7 linked regions of the Ovis aries genome follow. The protein of the gene in region 7 purifies or fractionates together with the protein of the main gene of each other region. This does not show direct contact. Links are inferred from orthologs where the notes say so. Each region holds a gene or a part of one and is shown on either strand. Other genes may lie near its edges.

The links.
Region 1: the proteins of POLR3B (region 7) and POLR3H purify together in Homo sapiens (affinity purification with mass spectrometry; 8 studies listed by BioGRID and IntAct, with this or other methods). This does not show direct contact. The link is inferred for Ovis aries from reciprocal best matches to the Homo sapiens genes POLR3B and POLR3H.
Region 2: the proteins of POLR3B (region 7) and POLR2E purify together in Homo sapiens (affinity purification with mass spectrometry; 7 studies listed by BioGRID and IntAct, counting the BioPlex papers as one, with this or other methods). This does not show direct contact. The link is inferred for Ovis aries from reciprocal best matches to the Homo sapiens genes POLR3B and POLR2E.
Region 3: the proteins of POLR3B (region 7) and POLR1C purify together in Homo sapiens (affinity purification with mass spectrometry; 7 studies listed by BioGRID and IntAct, counting the BioPlex papers as one, with this or other methods). This does not show direct contact. The link is inferred for Ovis aries from reciprocal best matches to the Homo sapiens genes POLR3B and POLR1C.
Region 4: the proteins of POLR3B (region 7) and POLR3C fractionate together in Homo sapiens (co-fractionation; 4 studies listed by BioGRID and IntAct, with this or other methods). This does not show direct contact. The link is inferred for Ovis aries from reciprocal best matches to the Homo sapiens genes POLR3B and POLR3C.
Region 5: the proteins of POLR3B (region 7) and POLR3D purify together in Homo sapiens (affinity purification with mass spectrometry; 8 studies listed by BioGRID and IntAct, counting the BioPlex papers as one, with this or other methods). This does not show direct contact. The link is inferred for Ovis aries from reciprocal best matches to the Homo sapiens genes POLR3B and POLR3D.
Region 6: the proteins of POLR3B (region 7) and POLR3E purify together in Homo sapiens (affinity purification with mass spectrometry; 8 studies listed by BioGRID and IntAct, counting the BioPlex papers as one, with this or other methods). This does not show direct contact. The link is inferred for Ovis aries from reciprocal best matches to the Homo sapiens genes POLR3B and POLR3E.

The regions. Positions count from the first base shown.
Region 1 is NC_056056.1:218,442,404-218,445,903, forward strand, and holds part of POLR3H (DNA-directed RNA polymerase III subunit RPC8), read right to left. Parts: intron 1,827-3,500; coding exon 1,740-1,826; intron 1,354-1,739; coding exon 1,290-1,353; coding exon of another isoform or gene 1,277-1,289; intron 36-1,276; coding exon 1-35.
Region 2 is NC_056058.1:41,257,705-41,261,630, reverse strand, and holds the start of POLR2E (DNA-directed RNA polymerases I, II, and III subunit RPABC1), read left to right. Parts: upstream 1-1,126; 5' UTR 1,127-1,191; coding exon 1,192-1,248; intron 1,249-2,690; coding exon 2,691-2,865; intron 2,866-3,674; coding exon 3,675-3,790; intron 3,791-3,926. UniProt on the Homo sapiens protein: DNA-dependent RNA polymerase catalyzes the transcription of DNA into RNA using the four ribonucleoside triphosphates as substrates.
Region 3 is NC_056073.1:17,058,153-17,062,287, forward strand, and holds the start of POLR1C (DNA-directed RNA polymerases I and III subunit RPAC1), read left to right. Parts: upstream 1-1,335; 5' UTR 1,336-1,356; coding exon 1,357-1,425; intron 1,426-1,544; coding exon 1,545-1,616; intron 1,617-4,135. Other genes in the region: protein YIPF3, read right to left, coding at 167-364, 966-1,046. UniProt on the Homo sapiens protein: DNA-dependent RNA polymerase catalyzes the transcription of DNA into RNA using the four ribonucleoside triphosphates as substrates.
Region 4 is NC_056054.1:99,170,396-99,174,336, reverse strand, and holds the start of POLR3C (DNA-directed RNA polymerase III subunit RPC3), read right to left. Parts: upstream 2,801-3,941; 5' UTR 2,623-2,800; intron 1,640-2,622; 5' UTR 1,620-1,639; coding exon 1,473-1,619; intron 871-1,472; coding exon 615-870; intron 505-614; coding exon 319-504; intron 1-318. Other genes in the region: E3 ubiquitin-protein ligase RNF115, read left to right, coding at 3,122-3,223. UniProt on the Homo sapiens protein: DNA-dependent RNA polymerase catalyzes the transcription of DNA into RNA using the four ribonucleoside triphosphates as substrates.
Region 5 is NC_056055.1:43,365,492-43,369,440, forward strand, and holds the start of POLR3D (DNA-directed RNA polymerase III subunit RPC4), read right to left. Parts: upstream 2,801-3,949; 5' UTR 2,660-2,800; exon of another isoform or gene 2,608-2,659; intron 2,420-2,607; 5' UTR 2,415-2,419; coding exon 2,250-2,414; intron 1,280-2,249; coding exon 1,236-1,279; intron 1-1,235. UniProt on the Homo sapiens protein: DNA-dependent RNA polymerase catalyzes the transcription of DNA into RNA using the four ribonucleoside triphosphates as substrates.
Region 6 is NC_056077.1:20,517,717-20,521,859, reverse strand, and holds the start of POLR3E (DNA-directed RNA polymerase III subunit RPC5), read right to left. Parts: upstream 2,801-4,143; 5' UTR 2,675-2,800; intron 1-2,674. UniProt on the Homo sapiens protein: DNA-dependent RNA polymerase catalyzes the transcription of DNA into RNA using the four ribonucleoside triphosphates as substrates.
Region 7 is NC_056056.1:175,323,296-175,326,795, reverse strand, and holds part of POLR3B (DNA-directed RNA polymerase III subunit RPC2), read right to left. Parts: intron 2,403-3,500; coding exon 2,370-2,402; intron 155-2,369; coding exon 98-154; intron 14-97; coding exon 1-13. UniProt on the Homo sapiens protein: Catalytic core component of RNA polymerase III (Pol III), a DNA-dependent RNA polymerase which synthesizes small non-coding RNAs using the four ribonucleoside triphosphates as substrates.

The sequences.
Region 1 (3,500 bases), about 43 Mb from region 7:
CGTACTCCCACACCCACACCTGCTCTGCCTCGTCGCTGGACAGGGCACACGGTCAAGGCAACAACCAGGCTAGTGGTGAAGCCCTGGGTTTGGAGGCAGGGGGTTCCTCCCATAGTGCCCAAACCCCCAGGGAGAGGCAATTGCAGGCTGACATGTTTTGCCCAGGAAGTCACAGGAAGAGAGGGCTCAGCCCCACATACAAGAGGTGAGGTCGGGCCGCCTGGAGCCCATGGAGTGACCAGAGTGCCAGGACCCAGGCCTGGAACACGGACATCAGAGCAGAAGGAGCTCGGAGCAGAGCACAAGCTGCACCGCCACCCGGACCCCACCTGTGTGCCCTCTCAGAGGCTGGCTCCCAAGTTCAAACCTCGCTCACCGCCCACCTCCAGGCCGGGCCCAGCCTCCGTGCTTCAGGGCCCCTGTCGGTATACCAGGGGCGCTAGGGAGACCTGCCCTCCGGGGCTGCGGCGGGGTGGTAATGACGCAGCACGCGTGGAGGGCGCCCCGCACAGGCCCCACGGTCGACCCGAGCGCTGGCCGGAGCTGGCCATGTGCTCCGCACGGCGCAATCCCGCACGCCTCTGCACGCCTCAGTGCTCTCTGCCGGCAGGCAGCCCAGGAACCGTCTCGGTTTCCAACAGGACAGGGCAAGTCTTCTGACAAGTTTCAGAGTCACACAAAGACCCTGCCCCAGGCCCTGTGCATGCGTACACACACACCATGCATGCACACACGTACACGTGGACGCACACGTGTGCACACACAAAACCAGGGCCCCTCCCTCAGCAGACCCCACACTGAAGGGACATACTGCCCTCCAGTGGCAGCCTGCAGGTGGGCCCTGCCTCTCCTCGCTGCCAGGTCCCCTGCTGGGCACTTTGGGCACAGCTGGGACAAGATGGGGTCTCTCCCGGTGAGCAGTCTTGGGGAGCACCCACAGAAACAGCCACCCCAGTGCAACAGGGCGAGGGCCGGGACCTGCAGCACCAGGCCCTCACACGCGTGCCGAGGAGGGGCGGCGGGCCAGCCAGGGGCCTCAGAGGGAGGCGACCTGAGATGCTTCCTGAGGGGACAACCTGAGCGAGGCGAGCTAGAACCAGGCCTGGCAGCCCCAATGCAGGCGCAGGCCCCGTGGCCCGTGTGGGACGTACAGGCAGGTCCGTGCTTTGGGAGCAAATGAGAAAAGAGGTGGACAGAGGCCAGCAGCATCAGGTCACAGGCCCCAGAGCCACCCTGAGGAGTGGGGACCCTTCTGTGGAGGGGTGCAAGCTCTCACCCTGGGAGGATACAACTTGGCCGGCTGCTGCAGCGACTCCGGAGGGATAAGAATGTCGTCGAAGAACCCTAGGGAGACTGGAAGATAGGCAGGTGACAACGTGAGTAGACCGGCCAGCCCCAAGTCTGTGCTGCCCGGGGACCCCTCCTCCACCTCGGAGCCCCACGCCTCTGCCCGGCCTGAGCAGCCACCCAAACTCAAGGTGGACCCTGCACTACTGGGGCCAGCAGCCCGGGTCACCTCCGCCAGCTCCGGTGCCTCCCTCAGGCCGTCTCAGCCTCCTGGCCAAGGCCCCGAGCTGGCTGGGGTCCGCACTGTTATAGGACGGACGGCTGAGCAGCCCCTCGGGAAGGTTCTGCTCGTCTAGGTGGCCGCTCCCCTGACCACCTGGAGAGGCTATGGGCCCAGCGCCTGCCCCCAGCATGCTCCCAGGTCTCGCGTGAGGACGCAGGGCCGATGTTACCGTGCACTCCCTCCGGGCTGCAGCCTTTGATCTTTCCGATCAGAATCTCGTCCAGGAACGGATGGAACACCACATAGCGAAAGTGAACTGGAAACGGAGACACCGTGGCGTGATGAGCAGGCCGTAAGCAAGGGCTACTCCGGCTGGGGGCGGCCTCACTCACTGGCATGCCAGCCCCCAGGGCTGCACCTAGAGCCCACCCAGCAGTCCATGCCAGGCCTCCCCATGGGCCTAGACCTCATCTCCTGCAAGGCCACTGCTTGGCCCCCACAGGAAGCCAGCAGTGCTGGCCCTGAAACAGGCCCGCTCCCAACCCATCAGCCATGCCTGAGCCCACATCCTGGCCATCAGTGACGCCAAATCAATCTCAGCCTTCCTCCGGGCGCTCTCCTTGAAATTCTAACAAGGGCAGAAGCAACTGGCAGAGAGAACCAGGTTTGGAAACAAGTTCCCCATCTCCCGCTGACCGGCAAAGTTTGCCCCAGGCGCAGCTCTGACCTGGAAAAGGATGCTAAAAATGCCCTGAAATTTGGGGGGGCAGGGAGGTTGGGGGAAGCCAATAAACCAGCAACAATGCCTCTGTGGGTTCTCAGGTTCTGCCCTAGGTGGTCCCTACTCACGTGAGCCCAAGGAAAGTACCAGGTAGGGTCTGTGCCCACATCACAGACTCTGACTCCACGGCCTGGCAGAAGCCGTCCCTTGATCACTGCTGCCCCTTGCAGAGCGCCTCAAAGGGGGTGCCCACTGAGCGCAAAAGGCATACGGTGTCTAGGGCCTGAACTTCGCCAGGGCTAGATAATAACCACGAGGCTGCCCCCGCCCAGCTGCCCAGGGCCCATCTCAATCCGCCCGTGTGAGTGTCACGCTTCCCCACTGGAAGCAAGCGGCTCCAGGAGGTCAAGTGGCCTGCCCACAGCCGCACAGCTGCTCTGCCAGCGGGAGACGCCAAGCCTTTCTGAGCCACCACCCAGATCCACGGGGTTGGGTCTGCCTCCCCTGTTTAACCCCAGACACAGGCTTCTGCGTCCAGCGCCCTCAGCTGCCTGGTCTGCGGCTTGCCCCAAGGACAGCGGGGTCCACCTGCCCCCCACCCCGGCTCCCTGCAGGCTGCTTCCCATGAGTCCACCAGGCAGGAAAGCGTGGGGGAAGGACAGGGGGCAGCTGGTGCACCTCCCTCCCGGTGAGGGGACAAGCACAGCTGTCCGAGCCTTAGAGACAGGAGAGCCGCACGCTGACCTCGGAGAGAGCAGCTGAGGGCCAATGTCCTTAATGCACAGAACGGAAAAATCCCTCTGCCCATGTGACCCAGTTCCATCAGCTCAGTTTAATAAGTCCCCACGGAGCCTCTGCCAGGGCTGTGCCAGGCTGGGCTTGGGCATGGAGCTCTCTGGGGCAGGACAACACGTGATCCTGTGCCCAGGGAGCTCGAGTCTGGAACGACCATAAGCAAAGCACGTGGCGAGCAGCCCAGGTGTCCGTGGACAGACGGATGGGTAATCACACTGTGACACAGCCACACAACGGAAGACTGTTCAGTCTCAGGAAAGGATAAAGGGCTAACACCGGGAACCACACAGATGACCCCTGAGGATATTAGGCTGCAGGAAATAAGCGAAGCGAAGTCGCTCAGTCATGTCCGACTCTTTGCGACCTCATGGGCTGTAGCCCACCAGGCTCCTCCTTCTGTGGAATTTTCTAGGCAAGAGTACTGGAGTGGGTTGCCATTTCCTTCTCCAGGGGATTCTCCCGACCCGGGGATCG
Region 2 (3,926 bases), on a different chromosome or scaffold from region 7:
TTCTTCCTCCTCTGCTTGTCTCTGTGTCTTTCCACATCCTGTCCACCTACAGATCCTATGAGCGCTGCCTTCTGGACACCCTAGACCTGCCCACAGCTCATCCTTCACTTGAGGCCTCATCTATCTCTGGCCGGGACGGTCCTCCCTAGCCCACTCCTTGGTCTCCCTGTTTCTGCCCTGTGGAGATGCTGAAAATGGCTGCAAGCACAAACTTCTCAAACCCAACCAGCAAGGGCTCCCAAGATCTGCCCCACCTGACCCTCTGACCCACAGGCCTCCTTGCTGCCAACATGCTAGGCCTCAGGGCCTTTGCACATGCTGTACCCTCTACCTGATACACTTTCCTCGACATCCCCAGGGCTTCTACCCTCTCACCCTTTGGATTTTTGTTGGAACCTTCCATGACCACATTTGAGACTTCTCTATTTTTTCTTCCACAGCACTGTCTCCTTCTAACACGCTGTATCATTTACTTATGTCCGCTGTTTCTGTCCTGTCTCTCCCTGGCATGTAAGGATGCTTGGTCTGTTTTGTTCCCCGTCTCTTTGGCTCCTCATTAAATACTGAATCATTGAATTAATATATTACTGAATGAGAAGTTACTGACACAAGTAAGCTGGGCTGAGCAGGCCTGAACAAACCTCCTGAACGAACTCGGAGGGGAAGGGCCGATGCAGAGGTTGTGCACTCTTGGGGTATCCAGGCAGGGGCTGGGCTGGGGCTCAGCTGCATTTTGTAAGCACCAGGAACTATACCAAGCTCCTCCCAAGTACGAGCATCTCTTTAGATCCTCTAAAATGGGGGACACTTTATTCTTTTCATTATACAAAACGGAAAACCGAGGCTCCGCTCACACTTCCTCAATCTCTCCAGATTCTAAACACTGTCCAGACTGACGTTGAGCAAAAACCACCACTCCCGAGAAGCCGTGCCGTCAAAGCATCGCGAGAACTTCCGAGGGGCGGGTGGGCGGTGCTGTTTGAAAGCTGCTCGCGCAACCAACCGCCGCTTTAGGAAGGCTAGGGCTGCCCTTGGCAGTGCCGCTCCCGAAGGTCGCTGTATTCAGGCGTTCGCCTGCGACAGCCCTGCACGGGTAGACGACGTGTTGGGGGCCTGATCAGGACTCGGAGTAGGCACTGTGGGCCCTGGTCGTGCTGGTCGCAGGCGCAGTGTGTGAGAGCGGCGGGAATCATGGACGATGAGGAGGAGACATACCGGCTGTGGAAGATCCGCAAGACCATCATGCAGGTGAGCCGCGCGGAGGCAGCCCTCCTTGGAGAACGCGGTGAGGGCGTGCCTGGCTGCGCCAGACGAACTGGGCACGTGGCGGCCGAGGCGTGAACGGCGGGTGCTAGGGCCCGTTGATGAGGACGAGCCTCTTCACCCGCGGCGGCGCGGCTGGAGCGGAGGAGTCGAGCCCCAGAGCCCCCAGAGAAGGGGGTCAGGATCTCGCTCGAGCTGGAGAGAGGGAAGGCGGGAGACGCTGGGCCGCCTTGTATTTGTGTTTCTGGAGGGTTGTGGTGTTACAGCCCCTGATCCTTGAAGTTCTTAATCAGTAAGAATTGATAACAGGCCAGACTAGAAGGTCAGGCAAGGCTTTGTTGGAGCTTATGCTGCAGCAGGAGGGAGCGAAAACAAGCAACAGGCGCCCTTCTTAGGTCGTCTTGAATGGGATAATGGGATGAGGGTGGGCGCGGGTCCAGGGGTCATGCCAGAGTGATGATTCGGGTGGTCTGCCTACCCTCTGGGTGGTGCTGTGTGCAGGGATCAGGCCTGGCACCCAGCTTTTGCTCCGGCACCTCAGAAGTGGAGGTTTTGACTTTCTGTTGTTGTCTATCATTTGCTCGAGCTGGGCAATTGCACGGTTATTTTTAGTCCCGCATGGTTTCTGGGTATTCTGTTGCTGGAGAAGATGTTTGTCCAAGTGCAGGCGCTGCCGCAAAGGGTCCCAGCTCCCAGCCTGTCTTATCAGCACCACCGTAAGTGCATAACGCAGAATCCCGGGTTCTTGACGGTGGAAGGAACCCTGGTGGGCTGGTCTGACTGCTGTCTGGTGGTTACTTAGATGCCTTGCCCACCAACTCAGTCTCAGTGTCACAGCAGTCACACCAGCTTTTTCTGTGTACCACATGCTTTAAGCCACCATGTGAGAGGGGTCCAGTGTGATGCCACAAAGACTTGGGGCCTTGATCAAGAGCACCCAGCCTCCTGGGAATTGTGCTGGAGCTAAGGCTGGGCTATGACCCAGCCTCTTCAACACTTGGCAGAGCTACTCAAGACAGGGCGGGAGCAGCTGCGCTTCTACCTGATGGTGTCGGGGCTGCGGGAGAGGAGACCCAGGTCTCTGAATGGAGACTCGGCGGGGGGTGGGGGATGTGGGCAGGGCTGGGTGGCAGCTCCAACCTTCCTTTGTCTGGGTCCTCACCTAGTCTGTGTGCTCACAGAGCCCTAGTTTCTGAGCAGGACCTTGAACTGCTGGGCCTCAGGCTTTTGCCTGGTTTCACAGCCAACACCCGCCCAGCCTGCTGTACCTGTCAGACCTACGCCCTGGGGCCTGACTCTGGACTCAACATCTCCGCTTGCATCCCAGGCCTTTCCCCAGTCTCCTCTGCGGTGGGTGAGGCCACCGGAGCTCTGGCTGCTGTCCTATCTCCACTGTGCGATCGATCACCTGCCCTTTCTCTCTGCAGCTGTGCCATGACCGTGGTTACCTGGTGACCCAGGACGAGCTGGACCAGACTCTGGAGGAGTTCAAGGCCCAGTTTGGGGACAAGCCCAGTGAAGGGCGGCCAAGGCGCACGGACCTCACGGTGCTGGTGGCCCACAACGACGACCCTACTGACCAGATGTTCGTCTTCTTCCCAGGTGAGGGCTGCTCAGGGCCAGCTCACAGCAGCCACCTGCTGTGCGCCCCAGAGTCATGCACCCACCCTTATCCTTCTGTCCCCTGCCCTCCTTGCTCTGGGAACCCCTTCTCCAGCTTCCCTCTTCTCGATCACCCATCCATTCTCTCTGGGCCTAAAGATCACATTTCCAAATACAGTTTCATTCTGAGATTCCAGGGCCAGGACCCCAACAGAGGGACTTTGAGGGCAGAGTGGGTTAGTGGAATGGGAAGTGAGAGCAGCTGGAAGGGGCGGACATACTGCACACAGACCCTGGGGCTGCCCTAGGTGCTGACCTGCTGGGCTCCTAGGGTCCGGCTGTTCTGTGGCAGGCCCTGCATGCTGCCAAGACCATGAGGACCCCCAGTGCTACGGCATGGAGATGGGTGGTCTGTGTCTGGCAGGACCATACTCTCTGGGTCAGCTCACCTCAGCTTACCTCTGAGAACCCCAGCCCTTGTCTCATGAACTCCAAGACTAAACCAAATCCAGGGCTTCCCAAACCTCAGAGCCACTGAGCCCTGGCCAAGCCCAGACTCCCAGACCCCACTTCCAGAAGAGGTCCCTGAGGTCCAGGGCACCCAGGGCACTTGTCAGCTCCCATGTGACCTGGAGGCAGCCAGCTCCCCCATTCTGGGAACCAGCTGCCCAGTTCTTGCTTTGCACACGGGGAGGCTGAGGCCCAAGAGTGGGAGTGGCACCGCAGTGCCTTGGCAGAGCCAGGCTAGAACCTGGGTGCCCGATGGGAAGGGGCCCTGCAGCACTGATCAGCCTGTGCTCTGCCTGCAGAGGAGCCCAAGGTGGGCATCAAGACCATCAAGGTGTACTGTCAGCGCATGCAGGAGGAGAACATCACACGTGCCCTCATTGTGGTGCAGCAGGGCATGACGCCCTCTGCCAAGCAGGTAAGCCTGCCCCGCCAGGGTGGGATGGAGCCTGGCCAGCACCTCTGTCCCCAGGCCCGGGGACCGGCTGCCACACTAGCTCCCAGCCACCCTGGGAGCATCCTGACAGGTACTTACCTTTCTTGATGTGAGATGA
Region 3 (4,135 bases), on a different chromosome or scaffold from region 7:
GGGTGGGGTGAAAGGGTGCTGTCAAACTCTTGGCTCTATGTTACTTATTTTTTATCTGATTTCAAAATGGTGTGAACTGGACAACCTGGGGTGGACTTCACCAACTCCAGAACCAGAGGTCTCCTCGGTATACTTTTCCACCTGTCAGGGAGCCAACTGTGCTTACCTGATCAGCCACCTGCCGGCTCAGCTGTCCCTTAAAGCCCTTCATCCCCAGGAACTCCCCATCCTCTTCTTCAGCAGCAGCTGCATCAGCATCCACTTCTTCCTCACGCAGGCGCTGATGCAGCTCACCCATGTCCTCGAAGCTGGAGCCTGAGGTATCATCCATGTTCTCCATGTCAATCACTGCTGAGCCCCCACCCTGTGAAGACAACAGACCCTAGAGTGCAGGACCTTTCTGCTTCGTCCAGTTGAGTCCTTCTCCGTTCACCACAAGGTTTGGGGCTAGGGGACTTGAAATCGCCACAGATGACGCCACTCTCTTCTCCTCATTTGGTCTCAGAACCCCTGCTTGTTTGGTGCTCTGTTCTAGTCTGGGGAACCTAGTCCCTGTCTTCCATACACGGCTTTTTCCTACCTTCCCTACCAAGGCCCCAAAGGGCTGCAAAGTGCCCATTTCCTTCATCTCTCCCAACCCCAAAACAAGGCTATGCGCACCAAGTGTGGTTTTGGCTAGTGAATCCCATCCACCCCCAAGCCCACTCCCGCCATGCCTGTCTCCGACTGACTTTCCTAAACTTGTGGAAAGCAAGAGCAATTGGGCCCAGATACCTAAGGCCCCTGGCTGGAGTACCAGTCTGGAGCTTTAAGACCAGCACTAGCCCCACTGCCTTTCTTGTGCACGAAGACTCAAAAGAAGATAAAAAGTGTTGCAAATGGACCAGACTTCCAGGCTCTGAGGGAGAGTTCAGGGCGGCTGCCGGCCCAGGGGCTGCGGGCAGCCGGAGCCGTGGGGCCATTACCTGGATGTTTTCTTCGAACCCTCCCCATTCCGGGCCGGTCCCGTTTCGGGCGCCGCCAGCCGGCGCCGCCGGAGTTGCCATGTCCCTCGAGGGCTCCCGTCGCTGAAGCCCGTGCTTGTCCCGCGCGCGGAGGAGGAGTGGGAGAGATGCGGGCCTGAGAAAGGGACAGGTCTAGGGACAAGAAAGAAAGGTACTATGGGTCGGAATGCAAAAAAAGGAGAAACCCGGATGTTTGGCTCAAACCAACTTCCGGTAGCTGGGGACGTGGACGGAGGCAAGGCACAGTCTCGCGATATTTAAGATTCTAGGAGGTGCGTTGCTACAGAAACGGAGGCGGACGACTAGTGCGCACGCATCAGTTAGGTACTCTGGTCACGTGGAGGAGTTGAAGATGGCGGCGGCCCAGGCTGTGGAGGAAATGAGGACCCGCGTGGTTCTAGGGGAGTTTGGGGTTCGCAATGTAAGTCTTGTGGCCTTCAGCTCGGGAGCAGAGTGAATCAGGGATGAGTTGGCGTCAGAGTGGGGACGGGCTTGGCCTCGCTGCCCCTTCGCAGACATTCTCGTCTCTCTTTGCTCTAGGTTCATACCACTGACTTTCCCGGTAACTATTGCGGCTACGATGATGCCTGGGACCAGGACCGCTTTGAGAAGGTAGGTGGAGCTGGAACTGTGGGATCGGACTTTGTGATATGAGCAACCTGTGCCTTAGAAGCTGTCCTTGTAATTTCCAAGGCGCAGCAGAAAAGGGCAGCTTGCAGCAAGGGGCAGAGGGCGGTAGCTGGAAGCGGGGTTGTAGCTTCCCCCACCGGTAGTCCTAACTACGACCACAGGAGCCAGCAGTTAGGGCTAGAGTCCCTAGTCCTTGTCTGCCTAGTCAAGAACGAATTCAGGCGAGGAGGCAGAAGGTACAGAGTAAAGTACGAAGTTGATTGAAAAGAGAAGTACATGTAGAAAGGCACACGGGCAGGACCCTCCCATGGGATGCACACTCACCTCTTAGCCAAGATGGATCTGGAAGTGAAGGCTTCTGGGAAGAGCAAGACTCGTTATGGCCTGAATTATCCTCTGACTTTTGACCCCAAGTAGCCTTTCTGCACTTGTGATGTATCTTCCTTATCCTAAAAAGGGGGAAGCGGAGATCCCTTAATCCTTACTCAGACGAGGGATTTCGCCTTGCTTTGTTCTTGCTATAATTATTTCTTCAAGATATTTACTAGAGACAAAGACTGTTGACTCTGTTTCTGTTCTCTCTTCGTTTCTGGAGGGCAAACAGGAGGCTGATAGGAAATTCCTCAGCTGGAGCCCGTCTGTCTCCTGCCATACTTGTGATGTGGGACATGCTAAAGTAAAGGTCCAGGTTCTTATTCTACCTGTCCAAAGTGCAAAAAAATGTCACACAGAGAAACTGAGGTGTAGAGAGAACAAAGAAGCAATTTATTAAGGAGAAGGGAAAGCAGGCACTCACAGAAGAATACGAGTGTCCACACGAGTGAGGAGACCACCTGAGGGTCTTTCTAGCCCCACTCCATTATTTTAATTCCTTGAATGGGTGCAGGTTTCTTTGTTGTTGTTCTTCAGTTGCTCAGTTGGGTCTGACTTTGTGACCCCAGGGAATGCAGCACGACAAGCTTCCCTGTCGTTCAGTATCTCCTGGAGTTTGCTCAAACTCATGTCCATTGAGTCAGTGATACCATCCAACCATCTCATCCTCTGTCACCCACTTCTCCTCTTGCCCTCAATCTTTCCCAGCATCACTCGTTTGCAGTGAGTCAGCTCTTGGCATTGCGTGGCCAAAGTATTGGAGCTTCAGCTTCAGCCTCAGTCCTTCAATGAATGTTCAGGGTTTATTTCTTCTAGGATTGACTGGTTTGATCATTTGATCTTCCTTGTTGTCTAAGGAACTCTCAAGAGTCTTCTCCAGCACCACAATTCGAAGGCATCAATTCTTTGGCACTCAGCTTTCTCTCACATCCATGCACGGCTACTGGAAAAACCATAGCTGTGACTATATGGACCTTTGTCAGCAAAGTGATGTCTCTGCTTTTTAATGTGCTGTCTAGCTTTGTCATAGCTTTTCTTCCAAGGAGCAAGTGTCTTTCAAGGCTGCAGTCACCGTCTGCAGTAACTTTGGAGCCCAAGAAAATGAAGTCTGTCACTGTTACCATTTTTTCCCCGTTTGTCTGTCATGAAATGATGGTTCAGATGCCATGATCTTAGTTTTTTGAATGTTGAGTTTTAAGCCAGCTTTTTCACTCTTCTCTTTCACTTTCATCAAGAGGCTGTTTAGTTCCTCTTCGGTTTCTGCCGTTAGGATCGTGTCACCTACGTATCTGAGGTTATTGATATTTCTCCCAGCAATCTTGACTGCAGCTTGTGCTTCATCTAGTACTCTGCATATAAGTTAAATAAGCAGGGTGACAATACACAGCCTTGACGTCCTCCTTCCCCAATTTTGAACCAGTCCATTGTTCCATCTCCAGTTCTGACTGTTGCTTCTGGATCTGCATACAGGTTTTTCAGGAGGCAGGCAATGTGGTCTGGTATTCTCATCTCTTTAATTTTCCACAGTTGTGATCCACACAGTCAAAGGCTTTAGCTTACTCATTGAAGCAGAAGTAAATGTTTTTCTGGACTTCTCTTGCTTTTTCTATGATCCAGAGGATGTTGGCAATTTGGCCTCTAGTTCCTCTGCCTTTTCTAAATCCAGCTTGAACATCTGGAAGTTCTTGGTTCACATACCATTGAAGCCTAGCTTGGGGAATTTTGAGCATAATTTTGCTGGCATGTGAAACGACTGCAGTTGTGCAGTAGTTTGGACATTGTTTGGCATTGCCTTTCTTTGGGATTGGAATGAAAACTGACCTTTTCCAGTCTTGTGGTCACTGCTTAGTTTTTCCAAATTTGCTGGCATATTGAGTGCTGTACTTTAACAGCATCATCTTTTAGGCTTTTAAATAGTTCAACTGGAATTCCATCACCTCCACTAGCCTTGCTCATAGTAATGCTTCTTAAGGCCCACTTGACTTATTTGATTAGGGACGGTCTATTTATTATTGGGAGGATGGGTGGTTATAACAGCTTCTCTTGTGCATCTGTCTCCTAAAGCCACCACACTAAGAGCTTTCCCCCCTTTAATTTTCCCTTGGAGTGAAACACCAGGTTGTATAGAA
Region 4 (3,941 bases), on a different chromosome or scaffold from region 7:
CCTGTTATATATTTTCATAACACTCCTAACACACTTTTCATACTTTTCCTTCACAGTACTGATCACAGTTTGTTAGTTACATATCCATGAGTCTATCTGATTAATGTAAGCTTCCTATACTAGACTCAAGCTCCATAAGGGCAGGGACCATAATGTTTTTTTCATCACTTTATACCATAGTATCTGGCATAGAGCAAATCCTTGGTAACTGCTTCATTGGTTAACAATGAAAACATTCATTTAACAATCACTATGAAACGTTCAAGAAAGAATCTACAATTAGGGCAAGTCACAGATCTCAGGGTCAAAATTCCTTACCTATCAAGCTCAGTTTAGGAACGAGGTACATGTCCTTTTCATTGATGACAAGAGTGGGGGCAGGTGGTGGTGGCCCAGTATCTGAATTCTCAGTGGCAGGCACCAAAGGGCAACGCTGCACAAAGTGTGTGTCCACTAGTCGCACAAATGTGTTTGATACCTCGGCATAGTCCATGGTCTTGCCATCTGTATGACAGGAGGAAACAGGCAAATGAGACGGCCTCAGGTAGCTAAGGGTTCACTCCTGCATCCAGTCAACCTATACTTTTGTTAACAACTGTGGATACAGTACTGACCCTCCATAGTCTCTGTGAGCCTATCTGCTACTTTCTTCACAACAGCTGACATTGTCATTTTGCCATTCAACAACAGCTCCTCAACAATCAGCTCTCCAGTATCACTGTATAGTGTTTTGGCGGTGTAGATGTACCGGGGATACCTAAGCATTCGCAACACCCGGTTGCACTGGGCTTCATACTCCACCACACCACGTTTGTGCACTTGATATATCACCAAGTTGTGCTGGATGAGGACACAAAGGGCTTTTTTTACCTAGAGAGGATATAAAAGAGAAGAAAAATCTGAAGATGCAGTTCATTATTGCTGGCAAGTTTTGTCCAACAGTTTCCTAAACATCAAGAGACAGCTGCAAATTGCTCCCTCTCTCCACTGGAATAGTTAGTGAGAATCGAATGTCAGTGGAAAAAATCAGGAAGATTCCTTACTATGATGTTCATATTTCCTCCAATCTTTATTTTTCAAAGTACAGTTTACTTTCCCTATATTATTCTCATTCTTAAAATGTAGTACTGAGATTAATAGACTCATTATGAATAAATGAAGTATGGGATAGGAGGAGCAAAGATTTGCCTAAGAAGCCACAAGGAGCCAGAACACTTTGAGAAGCAGAACCTTGGGCCCTATGTCTCAATCTCTCTCTCCTCTCAAATAACACCATTCTGATTCTAGGGCAGACTTTGCTCTTTTCCATTTTGTGGGGTTATCCGGTCTCTTACTCATGTCTGACTCTTTGCAACCCTATGGACTGCAGCACATCAGGCTCCTCTGTCCTTGTGGGGCAGGCAGTAACAATATTAAAGGGTAGGTAAAACAAATTAATGAAATGAAAGCAAATTGATGTGATCCAAACTTACCTGATCTAGTGATGTTCCTGTGTCATGGGCAATAACTCTTAGGGGCTGGCTGCCAGTTCTGATTAGGTGGACTCCAATTTTTTCTACAATCTCTCCAAAATGCTCTTGCAGCAACAAAGAACAGAGTTTAATTTCTGCTTGAGTCATTATGCTGAGGAGTCTCAGAGCTAGAAAAAAAAACACAACAGTATGATGGGAAGTTTTTCTTTTATGTTGGGAGCAGAATTGCTGAATGTAAATTCATGTTCTTTCTAGATGGCAATTTGACAGTAGATATACCAAAAGCCTTAAAATCTTGCATCTCTTTGACCTAATTCTTTTGTTTTAGATATTCTGTTCCAAGGGAATGATAAAAATATGTCACGTCAGAATACTGATATTCTGGGAACCTAATAAGTGATTATTTCAATAAATTATGGTATATGCATGCAATGGAATTCTATGCCAACATTCACAATACAATATGTATTAGTGTAGGAAATTATTCTGTAACTGAAAGATGCGGGTTACAAAGCAAAATGTAGAGGAAAGTTCAATTACTGAAAAAATCCCCACATGCATGCATGGAAAAAGAAGACTGGAAACCTATGTATATGAGATTTATCTTTATGGGATCATGTATGATTCTAATTTTCTTGAAAGACTGGGTGTAGATGGTTTTGCGATCTATCACAGACTTTAGATTCTATACTTCATTGTTTCACTCCTATTGGGAGTGAACAGGCAATGACAACTTTGCAAAGTAAGTTAGGAGGTAAATGATAGCTTTTCAACAGGGTGTTTCAGATAGGAGATGAAGTATGTTGTTAGCAGGGCAGTACTTAATTTTGAAATTTCGATTTCTTGACTAAGTAGACACAAAAAGAAACAGACATGGTTGACTATATAATCACAAGTGCTATCAAACACTGGTTTGTTCATCTATTTCTCCCAATCCCTCAGAAGCCAACCAAGACTATGCCTTTCAGCTTCACTATCCCCATCCACAGGTCTTTGGGGACACATCCCCAGACCCTCTGCCATCCTCGAAAAGGATTTCTAGGGAGCCTGGCTCCTGGCTCTTCACTCCTTTCCTGCTGGTTCCGGTTCCGGAGTGGATGCCCGGGTCCAGAGACAGGGCTGCCTCGTTCAGACAGCATTTTCCACTAACCTCTGGGTCAATGCAACGTAACGCCGCCGAGTTCCCCACGACTGCTTTGTGAGGTTCCCGCTGACCGCCCGGGCAGAGGGGGAGCCCAAGGTTCTTTGGCGCAGGAGCACGGCCACCGAGGAGGACCGGCGAAGAGGAAAAACATGTGCCGATCTACCCCAGCGTTTCGGTGGTTTCCGGGGACGCTCTTTCCTTCTTCTCGGTGGGAGTTTGGAGGACCGACGAGGGGCTGTTTGAAAAGCCGGCCGGCGGGCGGCGGCGGGCGGACTCTCCTTCCTGCGCCTCTTTGGTTCTGGGAGGCGGGCCGCGGGGTCAGCCGCCGCGCCACCGCCTCTGTGGGCCGGGCGGACTCACGTGACTCGCGCGGGCTCTGGAGAGGCTGGCAGCACTGAGGAAGCGGCGGAGGCGGCAGAGGAGGCGACAGCAGCCGGGAGCCAGCGGCCTGGCGAAAGACCGGCCGGCTGCCCTCTCGGACGGACAGCCGTGGCGAAAGAGAAAAATGGCGGAGGCTTCAGCGGCCGGGGCCGGCGCGGGCTCTGCGGTTGCCGCGCACCGGTTTTTCTGCCACTTTTGCAAGGGCGAGGTCAGCCCCAAACTACCGGTAAGAGCCCGGTTCCTCTGCCCTCCGGCATCGGCCCGGATTCCTCTCCCAGATGGCCTGGAGTGGGGGTTAAGCTTCCCACACAACCCGGATTCACCTGACATCGGTCTCTCAAGTACCCTGCTGCCCGGGCGTCTCGGCCCAGGCTCCGCAACTCTCGCTCGGATGTTCCACCTGCCCTTCACTTTCTCTCCCGTCTTGACCAGCTCCTCCCATCCCCCCCGCCCCCCCGCGCTCCATTTTTAATTTTTTTTGCCTTCTTTATTTAGCAAGTTCTCTTCTGACACGTCGCCTGTTTTCATGCACTCTTCTTCACCTTGTCTCCTTCCCACGATGACCTCTCTTTTCCTGCATTCCATACTCTTTCCGCTGTTGCCTCTCACCTTTATTCCTTTTCCACTTTTTACCAGATCCCCCCCCCCCTTCCCTCTTCTCATTAAAGCAAAATAGCGGATTGCTGAGAATTGCCCTTATTCGGTCGTCCCTAGGAAAGGAAGCAAGAAAACGCGGAGAGAAAGAGAGGGTTGGAAGGTAACTGGGATGGAGAGGGGGATTTTGCTCTTCAGGGGTTTCCAGTATTCTTCTGAAAGTGAAAACAGCAGTGTGCTAATGACTTGCAGACTGCCTGCGCTCCCTATCACTATTGAAGGAAATGGCTTTAGGAAGAAGGCAGAACATATTGTTTCAACTTGCATATTTTGATTGTCATGCTGCCAGT
Region 5 (3,949 bases), on a different chromosome or scaffold from region 7:
GGGAAACTACTGACGTCACCTGCGTCCGAGAACTGGTCTTACTCTCCCACACCACTCTGCTCCACCGGAGGGGAGTTTATGAGCCAACAACTATATCATGAGAAGCACAGTACCCACCTGTGTGGGTGGTCTAGCACGTTTTTCACTTCCTTGATGAGGCAGAGTCCTTCAGTTTACTGTACTTTACCTTTTCGAAGAGTGTATACTAGAACTATACCACAAAAGGTGAATTATAGAGATTGCCCCCAAATGTGGATTTTTTTTTTTTTTTTTTTTGGTATCGACTGAAAGTGGGAAAGTTGCAATGCAAAAGAACGAAAAGGAAAACCTGACCCATCTCTGCCCAAACTATTGGCTCTCAACTCTGGCTATAAAACATAATCTCTCTCTGAAGTAAGTCAGGCAGAGAAGGAGAATTGTATGACATCCTTTATATGCGGAATCTAAAAAGAAATTATACATATGAATTTACTTCAAAACAGAAAAAGACTTACAGACTTAGAAATTGAACTTGTGGCTGCTTGTACACACTGTTGTATTTAAAATGTATAACCAAAAAAATAAATAAATAAAATGCATAACCAACAAGGATCTGCTGTATAGCACATAGAACTCTGCTCAATGTTATGTGGAGGCCTGGATGGGAGGGGAGTTTGGGGGAGAATGGATACATGTATATATATGGCAGAGTCCCTTCACTGTTAATCTAAAACTATCCCAACACTGTTAAATGGCTACACCCCAATAAAAAATTAAAAGTTAAATAAAAAAGATAATCACTGTTTCACTGCAAAAAAGTTAAAACAATTTTAAGGATGGATTCCCAGGCATCAGTATTTTTTTAAAGCTTGCACATTAGAATCACCTGGGAGCCAGGGTCGCTAATCACTACTGCAAAGAACTAAATCTACAAATTTAAACTTCTGAGCCACCTACTTAGTTATTTCCCCAAAGTCCAAATTCAGAGCAAGTAAACAAAGGGGCAAGGCTTCCCAGGTGGCACTAGTGGTAAAGAATGCAGGAGACACAAGAGATACAGGTTCCATCCCTGGGTTGGGAAGATCCCCTGGAGAAGGGCATGGCAACCCACTCCAGTATTCTTGCCTGGAGAATCCCACGGACAGAGAAGCCTGGCGGGCTACAGTCCCTGGGGTGGCAAAGAGTCAGACTCAAGCAAGTGACTGAGCACAGACGCACAAACAAGGCGCGAGGATTCAGGAGGCCTAGCTACTTACTCTTCCTTGATCTTCCGACTGATGATATTTGGGGTGAAGGTTTTCTGAAAGTAAAATACAGGAGTCACTGATTTGGTAAATTCTGGTCCCAAAGTACAGAGGAAAGGAAAAACTTCCAAAGGGCATCTTCCATGGATGAAGACCAATATGGCTCTCTTTGGCACATTCCATACTGTTGTCAAAGATTTACTGAAATGGACAGGTGCTTGAAAAGGAGGAATGTCATGCCAAGGCAACGGTGAAGCTATATATAGAAGGGGGCATCAAAAAACATTTAAATGGCAGCCTCAGTTTCTGCCTCCTGAAAGGACAACCCTCAGGACTCTAACAGCAGAGGAATTTACCTACTCTCACACTTCATCTTCAAATTGCTAAGACCAGACAGTATTATAGAGGATGAGCTCTACCAGCAAGGTTCAAATGGGAAAGACAGTTCTGCCAGCACTCACAAACTGATGATTGGGTTAGACTGCCACCAGAATTTACAAAGGGAAACTGAGGCCTTCAAAAACTGGCTGCTTTATGCTCTATCATCCTCCCCATTCTCTTTACAGTCTACCCGTCACATCTACAGTCACAAACATAATATAAGACACAGAGGCTCTACTATCACACCTAAGACTCAATACTTTGGACCAGAAGTCTGCACACTGGGATCCAGGGCAAATTCAGAACTCTCTTAAATTGCAGGCAAACTTTATGTCTGCGTGGCTTTCATGGGTTTCTGAAAGGTATCCAAGACACACCAAAAGGAAATAAACCCTGCTCAAGTTGCTTCTGAGCTAATTAGGATTCTCTGCTATTCAGCCATCTCTGAGAGCCATGTCAACATCTTGGACCCAGTATCTTGACTTGAAGGTAGGGCAGGCTCCCCAAAAATTGCAGGCGGAAGTCTGAAGACAAGATTCGCAAGGCCCAGCACCACGCCTGGCACACAGTAGGCCCTACAGTCAAACCCCCAAGTGCCTGGAATTCAGCGTAGCTGGATTTCTTTAGAAAGGTGCCGTCGGGTACCTTCTTGACTCCCCCGAGGGTAAGATCCCTGGAGCGGATGGAGGGAAGGCGGCCCGGGGTGAGGGGAGGTGCCGGCCTTCGCCCAATAAGCCCCCGCGCCCCAGAAAGGAGGGGTCGGGGCCCTCCCGGAGCGCTGGGCTCGCCCGCGGCGTTTCCTTCCGACATGATGCCTGAGAAAGAAGGCGAAAAGGGGTAACGAAGTCACTCGAGGGAGAAGGACTCGCGGACCCTGAGCGGAACCCCACCCACGTGGCCTCCCGCCCCCCGAGTCGGCGCGTCCCTCCGGCAGAGACTCAGCTCCTCCCCCTCCCACGTGGCGGGACTCCCCCGAACACCCCGGCTAGGGCCCTTGGCTCGCCTTCTCTCCAGGCCCCCGGCCAGGCACGAGGCAAAGACGCACCCCTCCGCACCTAGGATGTAGTTCCACACCACGCGTGTCCCGATTTCACCTCCGACGCGACGCGCAGCGGGTTCCCAGTCTCGGCGCCAGGCGGAAGTCTGCGTGGCAGGGCCGGGGCGCCGCCATCTTGTCGCGGGGCGGAAGTGATGTCGGTGGGCGGGGCCGGGCCACAGTATTTATCCCGCGGCGTCTCGCTCGCCTCCGCCTTCTCTTCCCGGTTCTTCCCGGAGTCGGGAAAAGCTGGGTTGAGAGGGCGAAAAAGGAAGAGGGGAAGGGTCTAGGGGAAGGGTACGTTCGCGAGGTCTTGGCCCCGGGCATAAGGTGGGGGCGCACAGCTCAGATCTGGGGGCCGAGAGGCAATCTGGACGCAACGTGGGAGTTCGTCGCTGGGGAGCCTCCGGGTCGAGACTCGGGATGGGGTGGGGATGCGAGGCAGATTGCGAGACCCCGACTCAGAGTCCTGGAGCTCTAGGCTGCGCCCGGCCGAGCCTCGATTGCCGGCTTGATGATGACCTTGGAGTGGTCACTGCACCTCCGGGCTGCGTCCTCATTCTCTTTGGGGGATCTCCTCGTCGGACTCCTGGTGGGGTCCTGGGGTGGGGCTGTGGACATGGGGCCGTGAGCACAGTGCTGGAGCAGCTGCAGCGGTTGAGGGGGGTGCCTCAATCGCACCTGCCCTAGGCTCATGACTCTGGGTCCTTGTATACACGCTTGTTCCAATCCTGGAACCTGAAAAACGAAGTTCGTTCTACTGGGAGGGATAGATTTAAAGAACTTTCATCGTGACTCTGACGTTTGTAATTAAACATAAAAAATGTCCTTTACTATCGTTCCCTCCCCTCCCAAACCTGTAACTTTAGAGATAGCTTGAGGGAAGGGAAACATTAGTTAGAATTTCACACAGAGTAACTATTAAAACTTTTGCAATATATTCCAGCCCCATCACAGAGATTTCATATTGTACCACAGTTTTGAATCCTCCCTTTTCAAATAACATTTCTTTGTGGCTGTATCAAACAACTGCATAATTCTTGGGTGGCTGTGTCATGATTTGCCTGTGTCGCTGTTTGGACACAAAATGGTTCTTTTTTCCTGTTGTAAATACCACTGTTTTGAACATCTGGTGCCTTTAAAGTACTTTAGTCTTTCGGGTTCTATTCCTAGGACAAATTTCTAGACTTGGCGATAAGTGGTCAAAAGAAGATGTACTTTAATTTTTTGTTTGTTTTGCTCTGAAGTAATAGTAGATACATGAGTAGTTGTATGCAATAGTGCAGAGGGACTACCCTGGTGACTCAGT
Region 6 (4,143 bases), on a different chromosome or scaffold from region 7:
TTATGAGGGTGAAAGAGCGAAAAAGTTGGCTTAAAACTCAATATTCAAAAACAGATCACGGCATCTTGTCCCAACACTTCCTGGCAAATACAAGGTGAAAAAGTGGAAGCAGTGAGATTTTCTTTTCTTGGGCTCCAAAATCACCACAAATGGTGACTGCAGCCATGAAATTCAAAGACCCTTGCTCCTTGGAAGGAAAGTTATCATTCCCCCATTCAAAACTCTTCAACTGTCACATAGGATAAAATCCAAATTCCTTTCCATGGCCCCAAGGTCCCATATGATCTTGCTGGGCCTCCAACAAGCTAAGCCCCAGCCAGTCTCAGGAACTTTGCACATCATCTATTTTCCTCAGGTCTTTTCAAAAAAGGCTGGCTCCTTTTCACTAGATATCACCCATCCCACTTCCTCCAGGAACAGACAAGTTTCCCTGACCAGTCACCTTAAAGGCCCCCACCCCTCACCCGTTCCAGTCACTACCAAATCCCTGTTTTATTTCTTTCATGGTTCTTATTATAACTTGGAATTACCTAGTTGGTCTATTTGCTTATGTGTTGTCTGTCTTCTGCACTAGAATGTATGCTCCATGAGCACCCTCTGTGCTTCAACCATAAAACAGAGATGATTTAATTTACTTTGTGGAGTTGATACGGGCATTATTATCTTTTTAAAAATTCATGCTGTTCTCCCAATATCTAGAACAGTGAAGTAAACACTTAATATAGTACAAAGACTGAGTAAATCAGTGCATGAGATCAGGCAGTGACAGACCCTTTACCCAGTGATCCTAATTCAGCCCCATCCAGAGACTGGTGGCCTTACAGTTCGGGCCTCCTGGACACTTGAGGACAGGGGTGTGGTCTGCACTTCCAGGCCACCACCTCAAGGCAGCAGTGACCACCTTGACCTCAAGAGGGTTTCCTGTGACCACAAAGATACTCTATGGCAGCGGCTCCAAGCACTGGGCACAGAAAACATCCCCACCAGGGGACTGTTCAACAAAGGAAAGGGGACAAGGTAAATCTAAGGGAGGGTCCAGAGCAGAGAAGATGCCTGAAGGCCACAGCTGGGTCACCCAGGAGTCTAACCTGTAGGCCAATCAGAAAAACAGAGGCCAACGGAAAAACAGTCTCCAGCTACTGGAAGGAGAGAGACAACACAAAACTGAATTAAGGGGTAAGGGGCCCAGGGTAAACAGTCTCAAAGTCTGGATTCTTATTGGCTGTGTGCCCCTTCGACAAGGCATCTCCCCTTTTTGAGTCACTTCAGTTTCCACCTCAATGCAAGGAGAGAGGTGGCCTAGAGGCAAAAAGAATTAATTCTTAACTCATAAGACCCTCCCTTCTCTAAGGACTTAATATATTCATCCTCATGTAATCTGTCCAATAGCTCTCTAAGTAAGGATGTATTGATACCATCCCCAATTAACAGAAGAGGAAACTCAAGTTCAGAGAGTAACTTACCCAAGGTCACAGTGCCAGAGAAAGGCAGAGCTAAGCCACAAACCTGGGTCTAGCTGATGTCAAATAGCCTTATTCTCATTCTTAACGACTATGCTGCGAGCTCCCTTAGTGGAAGGCAGGATGGTGTAGTGGGTAAAAGCCTAGACTCTAGAGTGAAACTGCACAGGTTCAAATCCCAGGTCTGCCCTCTGGTACCTCTACCCCGTCTAGCATCGTTTGATCTTCACTATTTTCACCCCAAAAATGGGTATTAACAAAAGTACCAACCTCAGAAAACTGTGAAGATTAAGTAAAGTAGAAACGTAATCCCTGGGAAGGTTTGTTACTTACTCGGCACAATGTTTTCTTCCAATATAAAAGGGCAGGAGACAGAGCCACGAAACAAACACTACAACCTGGCGCTTCTCCCGTCTTACCCTATATTTAGCTCTCATCACAGCCCTAGGAGGCGGGGGAATCCTCTTACCCCCAATTCACAGATGAAGAAAACCGTGACAACTGCTTTAAGCTCTCCTTTTTCTGCCCTCCAATGATTCTAAAGCTAACACAACAAAATGACTTTTTTTATTTACTGGTTTACTTGACGTGCTTACTGACACCTCGTCTGATCAAATCTTCAGGGCCGGCCCCATCGGCCGCACGTCGCTGGCTCCCAATTAGCACTGAAGGGTGGCTGGAATAAATGAATGGAGAATTCCAGGCCTAGCCGGACTCGAGCTGATCCGGTTCGGCGGCGAGGAGGGGGCCCCGGACACCCTCCCCCTGCCCATCGGGGCGGGCCGCCTGCCCCGCGCCACACTGTCCAATGGGTTTCGCCTCCCTCGCGGGTGGTCAGGCCCCCTTCTCACGCCCACCACACAGCCACTGCCACGAGCCGCCACGCCGGCAGGACACCGGCTGCCTTCGGACAGGTGCTCCCACAGGAGGCCGGCCTGAGCCGGGTGGGGCAAAGCGGCGGGACCCTGAGTCACCGCCGGTAGCCTCGGCCTTGGCGTCACCGACTGCCACGGCGAGGCGAGGTCGGAGCCTGTGGCCGGCCCGGGTCTCCTGGGGCAGGCTGCCCGTCCTTCCCGCGGGAGTCCTAAGAGGCCCCCGGCCCCTGGGCACCGCGCGGCGCGGGCCTCCCGGCCTACTCAGCAGCCCCGCCCAAGCCCACCTCGTGAGTACGGCCCGGCTCCAGCACGGGTGGGTACTGCCAAGACGGCACTCACCTCTCCGCGGGGCCCGCACGCGGGCGCAGCAACGGCCCAGGTACCCGCGGGCTGCAGAAGCGGCAGTGGCCAGACTCTCCTCTCAGGCAGCGGCCATGTTGCCGGTGGAGAAACTCGGGCGGACACGTGGGGGGAGCGAGAGGGGCGGGCCCTAGCGCTTCCTTTTACCCACAATGCCCCGCCCCGGCGCGCGCGGACCCGCCCCCTCCGCCGCTCCATTCATACGGGCGGCCAGCCCTGGCCTGGCAGCAGGGGGCGCTGACGCAGTAGCAAAACAGCTGGTGAGGAGGTAGCAAGGGGCAAAAAGCTCACTCTGGCAGCGGTGGGATTCGAACCCACGCCCCCGAAGAGACTGGAGCCTTAATCCAGCGCCTTAGACCGCTCGGCCACGCTACCCAGTTGTGAGTGGGGCCTTCCAGAAAGCTATTTAATGCATTTACATGCAAGTACACTTAATTTCTGATTGTTTGCTATATGTTTTACTTCATCCCTATAGAACTATTTTAGAAAGTATTGGCTACTAAAAATAAAATATTTTCTCCAGTAATTAGACCCACACTTCTTCCGAACAGATCTTAGAACAGTTTAAGAATCTGTTTTCTGAGTAGGACGTTTAACACGTTAAGCAGGTTAACCCACACGGGAATAAACGATGGATTTCGGCAGTAACCCGCACCAGGGCTTCCGAAAGCCAAACCCGTGGACTGGTGTAGGCAGTTTTCTCTAAAATTATGTGTTTTAATTTTTAGTTACACAGATAATATGTGAATTATTGCAAAATATGAAAACTTTGTAGATAAGGTACTAATGTTCTTTTACCTTCGGTCTCTAAGTCCCTTCCTCAGAGGTAACCGTTATACAGCTTAGTACACTGCGTTTCCTTCTGGACCTTCTATTGTGAATTTATGTGAATATATATGGATATATTCACGTGGATAGATATATCCATAGAAATAGGTAGTTTGTTTTTATTGTTATGGATTTTACATAAATATAAATATTAATCATACTAGTAGTATTTATTGCTTTTGAACTGTGGTGTTGGAGAAGACTCTTGAGAGTCCCTTGGACTGCAAGGAGATCCAACCAGTCCATTCGGGAGGAGATCAGCCCTGGGCTTTCTTTGGAGGGAATGATGCTGAGGCTGAAACTCCAGTACTTCCGCCACCTCATGCGAAGAGTTGACTCATTGGAAAAGACTCTGATGCTGGGAGGGATTGGGGGCAGGAGGAGAAGGGGGGACGAGGATGAGATGGCTGGATGGCATCACTGACTCGATGGACGTGATCTGAGTGAACTCTGGGAGATGGTGATGGACAGGGAGGCCTGGCGTGCTGCGATTCATGGGGTCGCAAAGAATCGGACACGACTGAGCGACTGAACTGAACTGAACTGAACTGAGTATTTATTGCAACTGACTTTTTTCACCTATTTTTTTCTAGTATCTATCCATATTGATATATATGTAG
Region 7 (3,500 bases):
TTATTTTCTTTATCTGCAATGGAAAGAGTAACATGAGGAAAGACTCTGGCTTCCAGTTCATTTGTAATCATATCCTTTCCCAAGATTTGATGCTTACCTCTACATTAATGAAATAGTTAAATGAATCTATATGCTGTTTCACAAGGCCTTTCACCTAAATGGATAAAAAATAAAAGCAGGTTAGCAACAAAATAGCAGATTACACAAAGGGCTTAACCTGATCTATAAATTTTCCCCAAGACCAAAGTGACCACAAAAAATCCATACATTTTACTTGGCAAAACTTTCTATTTTCACGTCCTCATTCCATTTCTCCTCCATCTTACTAGAACACTCTCAAACTTTCCTCCCTGAAAAACAACTTGACGTTTGGAATTCAAGATATATACCTAATGACTCCCCATGAGCTAACAAATTAGGCAAGAAAGAAAATCCAAGAAAAAAATATAGCAATCAAGCATCATGTCTCCAACCCTCAAACAATGCCTATTTTCTTTTTTTCTTGCTCCTATGTAAGTGATTTTATGATTTCCCCATATCTGGTCTTTCATATCACTTTTAGAAGAATGAGGGGGAAAAATAAGGATCTCTATTAAGGAAACCAAAAATAAATGCATTTAAAATTGAAAGCAAGGTGAATCCCAGGGACCAACAAACAGATCAGCTCCAGTGACTGCCTTTCATCTCAAAAGTCAGTACAGCTACACAGACAGTGCTGTGTGCTGCTATGAAAAACCCTGAAAGGCTAAACACAGATTCCAAAGTCTTAGGATTTAAAAGGACTGTAACGTGTTCAACTTTTTACATTAATGTTCAAACATAATTAGTTCAACACTTCTAGAATACACTCAACAGAAAGCATCACAGGGCCTCTGCTTTAATTACACCTCTTTTGAGGGATCTCACTGGCTTACTAAGCAGTTATCCCATTTTGAAATAGTCCTGATTGTTGGGGGAAAAATTCACTCTGATAATGATCTCTAGTCTAACATCCTGCAGTTTCCCCCCCATGGGCTTAATGTCTTTTCTGGAGAAAATGTCTTCTCCACCACAGTCCATTTAGTTATCACATCTCTTTTACGTCCTCTCTTCCAGGCTGAAGAGGCTCTTCCACTATTTCTCACAGACATGCTTTCCAGACTCTTCAGCAGCCCATGGACCGTAAAAACTGGTCAGAAATCTGCCCTTGACAATTCCCAGCCTCATCTGCCAGCATGCTCCCTTCTGCCAATAATACAGAACTAAGATGGAAAAAACCTGACTCATTTTTCAACCCTCTTTTCTTTCACTGAGCATAATGCTTCCAAGAGCATCCACATTGTAGCATGTATTGGCACTTTCTATTGCCAAAAACATTGCATTGTATGGATATATCATATTTCATTTAGCCATCCATCATTTGGTATTCGAGTTGTTTCTATTTTTGGCTATTATAAATAATGCTGCTATGAACATCTGTGTACAAGTTTTTGCATGGACATACGTTTTTGTTTCTCTTGAGTAAATACCTAGGAGTAGAATTGCAGCATCATACAGTAACTATATGTTTAACCATCTGATGAACTGCCAGGCTGTTTCCCAAAGCGGCTATATCTCCATCAGTAGACTGTGAGGGTTCCAATTGCTCCACATCCCCACCAACATTTGTTATTGTCTTTCTTTCTTCACTATAGCCATCCTACTGGGTGTCAAGTGGTCTCTCATTGTGGAACCTGCTACTATTTAGCATAAGCACTTTAAAACTGAAATTCAATGATAACAGGAACCTTATAATCTGTACTTCCTTTGTCTGAACCACTCATCCACTCCAGCCAAGCAGACTGGACTCTGTTTTCAACAGACCCCATGGATCCTCCTCTTGAGGTCTTTTATTAAGCCATGCTCCCCACATCCTACCTTTCGGCTTAGGTAAATTCCTTTCCTCTTGTTGTTGTTGTTTAGTTTGCTAAGTTGTATCTGACTCTTTTGCAATCCCATGGACTGCACTCTGCCAGGCCACTGAGCCAACTGGGAAGTCCTCCCCTCCTCTGAGGATGTGGTTTATGTCTCACCTCCTTTAGGAGGCCCTTTCTGACCACCTGTGGCATCAATCTTCTGCCAGCAGCACTTTGGTTTGTACACTTTGGTTTGTATTATTCCTATGCCAAGTGACAATGTAAACTACTTCCTACCTCTAAAATTAGATTACAATCCCCTACCTAGTACTTTATGGACAGGGTTACTGCCTTATAATTTCTCATATTTCTAAAACTTAGAAAAGTGCACAGTTGTACAAAGTCAAAAAATGTTGGTGATAAAAATTTAATTTTAAAAAAGGCTTATTTCTTGACTCTTGATTGGAAAAATAACTGTTATTAGATATTAATTACCTTTAAAAATGCTGGAAGCAGCCGCCATTTTTCCTGTGAATCAGAACAATAAAAGTATCAGAACTCTGTGTCAGTGATCACAATATTTTCATGAGGTTATTTTAATGTAACAAAAGTGACTTACTTTATCGCAGTAAGCAAAAGAAAGTAAGTGGAAACAGAAAGAACAATTTTTACATTGTAACCTTTTTATGGAAATCATATATGTACTGTACATGTACATGCATACAAACATATGCATACACACAAGCATATATAAACCAGAGATTTCTTAAACAGAATATACTTTAATCCCAATTTGATGACTCAAGCACTTTTCATCTTTATTTTATTCTCATGACTCTTCCTGAGTAAGCAGGGTTTGCCAGTTTGAGAAAGGGAAAGTATCAGTAAGTTTCAGAGAGTTTGGTTTAAACCCAAAGGGAGTTCTTTCTCCCTCCTATTTTCTCTCAACTAGCACCTGGTCAGAGCCCAGGCTGAAGAAAGATATCACCCGGTGTTCACCTATTTACCCGGTGTTCACCTATTTACCCGGTGTTCACCTATTTAAACAGCTATGAACTAACTGCCACGTTCAGCTCTTAGGCCTGCTCTTCACACCTTCCTGAGGTTGTAAACAGCCTATCATGATATAACTCTTCATGAGTGGTATCTAATCTGTTCATGGGAAATCTGACAAATGGTTAGAACTGAGTCTAAAGTAAGAAAACACAGTTTCTGAGTAAGAGCCCAAGGATCATGTAAGACCTTGTGAGAAACTGTAAAATTTTTTTGACTTTGGGCAACAGAGAAGTGCTGGAAGGTTTTGAGCAAGAGTGACAAGGTGATGTGGTCCATTTTAACTGATCACTCCAGCTGCTGGGGTGAGAAAAGACAAGGTTAGAAGCAGAGGGATCATTTAGGAGTTTCCTGCAATACTCTAGGCTGATAACAATACAGGTAGTGAGAAACTGTTGCCTAGGAAAACACGATGTGAAGTTAGAGTCAACAGGACTTGATAGTATATGAGATGCAGGAATCTGAGAAAGACAAACGGAGACTGACACCTTAGTGCTGCCATTTCTGGAGATGAGGAGGCAGGGATGCTGCTGAGGCAGCCCCTTTAGTCTGAAGGGGCGACCAGGAGTTTGG